2 linked regions of the Macaca mulatta genome follow. The protein of the gene in region 2 purifies or fractionates together with the protein of the main gene of each other region. This does not show direct contact. Links are inferred from orthologs where the notes say so. Each region holds a gene or a part of one and is shown on either strand. Other genes may lie near its edges.

Evidence for each region.
Region 1: the proteins of FBXW5 (region 2) and SKP1 purify together in Homo sapiens (affinity purification with western blotting; 16 studies listed by BioGRID and IntAct, with this or other methods). This does not show direct contact. The link is inferred for Macaca mulatta from reciprocal best matches to the Homo sapiens genes FBXW5 and SKP1.

The regions. Positions count from the first base shown.
Region 1 is NC_133411.1:143,076,596-143,080,512, forward strand, and holds the start of SKP1 (S-phase kinase-associated protein 1), read right to left. Parts: upstream 2,328-3,917; 5' UTR 2,228-2,327; exon of another isoform or gene 2,059-2,227; intron 1-2,058. UniProt on the Homo sapiens protein: Essential component of the SCF (SKP1-CUL1-F-box protein) ubiquitin ligase complex, which mediates the ubiquitination of proteins involved in cell cycle progression, signal transduction and transcription.
Region 2 is NC_133420.1:5,526,270-5,528,703, reverse strand, and holds the end of FBXW5 (F-box/WD repeat-containing protein 5), read right to left. Parts: intron 2,074-2,434; coding exon 1,926-2,073; intron 1,853-1,925; coding exon 1,640-1,852; intron 1,562-1,639; coding exon 1,318-1,561; 3' UTR 813-1,317; downstream 1-812. UniProt on the Homo sapiens protein: Substrate recognition component of both SCF (SKP1-CUL1-F-box protein) and DCX (DDB1-CUL4-X-box) E3 ubiquitin-protein ligase complexes.

The sequences.
Region 1 (3,917 bases), on a different chromosome or scaffold from region 2:
GCGGGCGCCTGTAGTCCCAGCTACTTGGGAGGCTGAGGCAGGAGAATGGCATGAACCCAGGAAGCAGAGCTTACAGTGAGCCGAGACCGCGCCGCTGTACTCCAGCCTGGGTGGCAGAGCAAGACTCCGTGTCAAAAAAAAAAGTTAAGCAATTAATTCCAAAGGACTTGAGTTCTGGCAAAAAAAAAAAAAAAGGAATTTAAAATTAAAAGTCCAACAATTTCTTACCATCTTCAAATTCTTTTTTTAAAAAAGAAAACATACATAAAAGAAAAACAACAACAAAAAGAGTAGCAATACCTGGTACAGATTAATTCAAGGCCTCTTAAAATTCACATACAACTTTTAAAAGGCCCATGCTTCTCAAGTATTCATAATCCAATGATGTCACTATTAACTTATGGTACCTCTGAAGTTTTCTAGGTGTGTTGTATTAAAAATCGCATATATTTTCACAAAAGTGTATCATTTGGCATTTAAAACATGCATCACACCCATTTTATGTTCAAAGACTTATGACCCATTACATCGGTTAAAATATTCATTCAGCTTCTCTGAGACAATTGTCCGCAACCCCAAAGCAAACAGGTTCTTAGGCAAAGGAAGCAAAAAAGTAAAGCGTGTTTTAAAACCAGCCACTGAAATATCCTACTCTCACTCATCCATGGTTGGAGAGAATCAGATTTCACTTTGCAATTCACAAACATGTCTGCTTCTCCATGTTGCTTAGCGCTTGCCAATAATGCCGTTGTCCCTGCTCAATGAAGAAGGACCCAGAGTAGAGGACCCTTCCTGTGACAAGACAACAATAAAAGGTATCTCCAAAAGAAAATATTTTAACGTGAGTCCAATTTTTAATTATAAAACATTTAAACATGTAATTTTTATATCAGATAGTACTGAAATGAACAGTGCAGAATCACAAGTCTAACAATGCAGTTGATAAAATTACTCTAAAAGCAAGACGACCGTTTCATATTTCTTTCAAATAACTCAAGTGCTTAGTCATAGTCAAATTCGTGGATTGGGTTACTCTTAAGGGAGTTGAGATCTTACTAAATAGCAGGTAGGTAATCGGTTAAATCTGTAATTCGATGCACTTGGTAATACTAAACTAAAAGATAAGTTTTAGTGTTACAGTAGAATAAAGTGCAAAATTTTTAAGTAATAATGGATGAAATTTTGATTTGAAATGTTTTCAAAACAATTCCATTCTAAAGAAAGAGGCCTAAAGGCTCCTGCACTTGTAAATAATTCTCCATGGCCAGCATAAAGTGGGTTCTATCACATCATAAAGGGAAAAAAACCCCTGCGTTTTAAGTGACCCGAAATTCTGCCACTGCTTTTTAGACTGCACAGTGGAGGAGACTATTGTTCTATGACACAGATACATTCTATTGTGACGCTCTAATGGAAAAATGCATGTTCCTAAAACCCAAACGTGAAGTTCCCACTAAAAGTGAACCAAAGCAGCTGGACATCCTATTTCTTTAAAAGCCAGACACTTCGAGTTAAGTTATACACAGCTCTTACAAGTCACACCACTCTGAAGATGGTATCTGCTATCACAATAGTTATTTCAACGACTCCAAGTCATAGCAAAACAACGCGAAGAAATATTTACAAGGAACAGGCGGCTATGTGCAGAAACTCGGCGCCCGCACACAGTTAGCCAGGACCGACGGGTAGCTAGTGACGCCAGACACGGGGGAGAAAGGATGGCAGCCAAGAACCGGGCGGCCTCAGACCACCACCGCAGCTCTCCCTCCCGACCACAACAAAAGCCAGACACCGACACACGCCCATGCTCACGACAGCCAAGGGACCCCCATTCACAACCCCGCCGCCACCCCCGCCCTAGTCCCCGGGACAGCAGGCTTAAGGCCAAGAGAGGCCCCCGGCCATAGCCTGGGCCTTGCAGCCGAGCCTGCGCCGGCTGACGCTCGGCCGGTGCAGAGAAAGCCCAGCCCGGGGTTCGGCTCACACTTATGGAGCGCTGTGAGGACGCGCGGCCAGAGCAGGCCTCGCTGAATCGGGGGCGGAGAGGGTGGACGAGACCTGATGGTGTCTCCCGAAGAACGGGGTCGACAACACGATCCACCGGGCCCGAAAGAAGGCCAGGCCCAGTCACCGCCCGCCGCGGGCAGGCCCAAACCGCAGCAGTGAGGCCAGCCTGCATGCAATCCGGGAGCCACGACCCTTTCCAGCTCAGTGGGCGGCTACTCACGGTGTTCGGTGTTAAGGAGACTGCCGGCGGGAGGCTGACGAGAGCTAGGAGACGTCAGCGGAGGAACAGAAAAGCGGAGGACGAAGCCACTACAGCCTCTCGGCGCGGCGCGGCGTCTGCTTTATAGGAGAGGGCGCAGGCGCCGAGGACCCCGGGGCGCGCGGCGTCACACAGCGGCTGGGCTGGCCGCCGAGATCGCCTGACGGCAGGCCGAAGACGGCGGGGCGGGCCCAGGCCGGGAGGCGACGAGGAGCTGCCGGGGCGGCTGGCCGGGGGGTTGGGGAACGGGAGAGCTTTCGCCTTTCCCTAGCTCTGAAAGCGCCGCGCTCTCTCATCAACTGGGTGCCGAACCCTGACTGGCCTAGAAAGGTCTTTCAGGCAGGGGCGCCCTAAGCCGAGTAAAATACCCCAGCTAAACGGCCTGGAAAAAACAAAACGGGGCGTGTGTGCGCCTATGTGTGTGTTCCTGGGAACAACAGAACGGGGCGCGCGCGCGTGTGTGTGTGTGTTCATTCCTGGGAGGGGCTGCGTGTGTGTGTACGCGCGTGTGTTCATTCCTGAGGTGTATGTGTGTGCGCGCGCGGGTGTGTGTGTGTTCATTCCTGGGGTGGGGATGGGGGGGCGCTTGTGTGTGTGTGTTTTACTACTGAACTGATACAGCTTGTCCAGCCTCCATTCTCCACAGTAACCCTCCGAGGTGAAATAGTGTTAGCCTTTTCGCCTCTGCAGTGAGGGAACAGGTTCGGAACGGTTAAGTGGCAGAGCCAGGATTTGAACATTACTCCACAGTTAGGTGCCGTTAGCCCTTATTTCCTACTATTGACTTCTAAAGAGGCTTCCGTGCCAAAAATAGCCATCGTCGTAGGGAAACCCCAAATCTAGAGAGATGGCTTCCATCTAGCAATAGGTACCCATTCCTTCACTAAACATGCTCTGAGCCCGACATGCGAGGCGTGGTGCTGGGGATTCGGCAGTGAACCAGGCAGCCAGGGCCCGGCCTGGACAGAACTCTTGTCTGGGGTGCTCCCAGGAAGGCTGTGATGAGGTCGATGGAATGAAGCCTGCAGTAAAGGAACGGGAGTAGTCTGAAAGCCCCACCCCGCTCTGCTCGGGAACGTTATTCTCCCTGTCCTAGGAGACTGGGCGCCGGGCTCGTCTAGCCAATAGGCACGTGATGGTATCCCTGACACAGGAAGACAAAAGATACTTCCACACAGGGCCCCCTGAAGAAACCGGAGACGTACAGTGCCTCTGGGATGGGACTGGGCAGGAATGCCAAGCAGCTTCTTGAGTTACCAGGTCTTTGTCTACAAGCTGTGGTATCCAGTGTCTGCCAGGTGCCACAGCTGATGACAGAAGATGAAACGCCTGCAGCTCTCAGATATTTTCTCAGCAGCACAGCCCTGCCCTCAGCAGCTCCAGCTTCAGGCCTCCTAGGCAGGGCCCACTGGAGCCCCTTTGCTCCCCTGCCTATGGTATGCAGGGTGATACCTTATAAACTCTCCTTGAGCATCCTAAGCAGGACTGTGCAGTGTCAGGTCATACAGCTAGCCTGGGGCCCCAGCACAGGGTCTGGCGTAAAAGTAGGTATATGCTTTTCCAAATATGTCTGAGAACCCCCTTTATTAGAATCACCAAGAAATGCCTACTTTTAAAAGAGATTTCGGGGCCGGGCATGGAGGCTCACACC
Region 2 (2,434 bases):
GGTCCCCTCCCAGCTGGAGACCAGGAGTTAGCGGGACAGAGGCCCCATCCCTCTGGGTGGCGCAGCCTGTGTTGGTGGTGCCGTCCCTGACCCCGTCGGTACTGGGGCTCGGCCCCAGGGTCTCTACCAACCCCTGCAGCCCATGTGGCTCCGGGAACCATCACCTCGATACTCACTCGTCTCCTCTGCGTCCTTTTTCTGTACGGGGTTGCCTGCTGCCATGTGTGGAGCCACAAGCTCCGTGTGCTTCCTGTAACGGGCAGCGGACCCGGATGCCAGGCTCTCCTCCTGCCGTCTTGTCACCACCATCACCCTGGGCCCCCTGAGCTCCGGTGCAGCTCTGACAAAGCCTGCAACGTCCAGCTGGAGCTGCACCTCTGCTGCCACTTCTGGGCCCCTGGTCCCTTCCTCCTCGGCATGAACTCTGAGGAGCTCTGCCCAACACCCTCCCTGCCCCCAGCAGCCGAGGCACTCCCTCAAGGACGGGACTGACTGTGGAGGCTGCCCTGGCACTGGGAGCGACGCGGCCTACTGACCCTGGAATCAGCAGGCCCTCCATGCTGCCAGCCCCGGCAGATGTGCCAGGCATCTCCCTGGATGTCACAGAGGGGGGACAGGGCAGTGTGACAAAGTCTGGCACCAGTACATGACCTCAGACGCACATGTCACTTGTCAGCAGTGACTGCAACAACCACTCCAGTGGGGCCACTATGCCAGCGGTGACGTCACCCGTCAGTAGTGACGAGATCCGCTCCACTGTGCCAGTGGGGCCCATGGTCTCCCTCCCTGCAGACAGAGACTGAACAACAACGTGCTGTTGCCAACTGTTTATTCAGGGCCCTGAACGGGTGGTGCGTGGACATGCAACACACTCGGGCCCACAGCAGTGTGACTGGCCGCTCCCAAGCCCCGGGCGCACAACCACAGCCAGGCTGCCAGAGCCAGCAGCCTCTGCCACTGCTGGGCCACTGTCCAGGGCCCCGCAGGACCAGCCGAGGGTGCCCCAGGCTGAGGCCAGCTGGGGCGGGTGAACCCCTAGCCTAGGGATGAGCGAGGAGCGGCACCCCCAGTATCCTGTGCACCCCAAGCTGGCCAGGAGGCCAAGGGGACCTTGGCTTCCAACCTCACTGGCCACCCTGTGCCAAGCATCACAGCTGCGTGAGCAGGTTTGCGTGTGAGAGCGTGGCGGGGCCTGGCTGTCCCCTTCCTAAGGCGTAACTGCTACAAGCGTCTCCACCTCTCCCGCTCGGGAAAGAACCACAGAGCCTGGGTGGCGTCGAGGGGTCCCAGCGGCTCCAGTGCACCCTGCAGCACCCCTCAGCGCCTCTGGCTGGCAAGCCAGGAGAAGAAGGCGCGAGGCCGCGGACGACGTGCCTGGAAGACGCGCACGGTGCGTGGGGAGCGCCAGGCTTTGATGGTGGCATCGTCGCTGGCCGTGAGCAGCAGCTCCTGCTCCTGGGGACTGAAGGCCACTGAGTTGACCACGTCCTCGTGCCGCAGCTTGGCCAAGCAGATGTTGTAGTGGCGGTCCCAGATGTAGCCGTGCCGGTCCTCCGCCCCACTGCAGAACAGCGCCTGGATGAGCCGGTCGCCCGCCTGCTGCGCCCACGCCCGCCCTGCACCACGCTGCGCCCTGCACCTGGCCACGAAGTCCCTGCTGACGTCCAGGAAGATGAAAAAGCACTCGTCGTTGGGCGTGTAGGCGCGGTGCGCACGCAGAGCCCGCCTCACCTCCCGCATGGTCTTGAGGTCGAACACCAGCAGGTCAATCTCCTCCGCGATGGGTGGCGGCTGCATGGGGTCAGCCACCACCGCACCACTGGGCCAGGCGCGGCTGTTCACATACAGGTACCTGGGCGAGGGGCACTGTGCTAGGTATGGGCCACCTGCGGGCACCCCGCCTGGGACACTGGCAAGAGGCCCACCTGTTGTCGGGCGACAGGCCCATGCCAATGATGTGCCCGTGCACGTCTATGACGTGGTCCAGCGCGTCGAAGAAGGCATCAGAGCCCCGGCCCTCGCCCAGCACGGGCCCCGCCGTTGTCATCTGGTGTGGCAGGATCTGCTTGATGCCTGCAGGGAGGGCTGCGGTGAGGGTCCCTGCCCAGTGCCCCGGGGACGTCACTCCAGGACAGCCCCCTACCCCAACAGTGTCTCTGGGGCTGTGGGCACCGCAGAGGTCTGCGGGCATTGCCTGCTCCGGGGGCCCCAGACCTGAATCAGGCCCCTCAGCTGCTCACTGGCCAGCGGGCCTGCCTGTTTGTTTTCACCGCTCATCCCGCAGACCCCAGACGAGGCCAGGTCTGGGCTTGTGACCCCGGGGTGAGTGAATGATCCCAGCTGTGCCTGTGAACTTGCTTGCCGTCTGCCCCCCAGGACCCCTGCCCGGCCTCCCCCAAGCTGCTAGGACCGAGGCGGGCAGCATGGCGGCAGG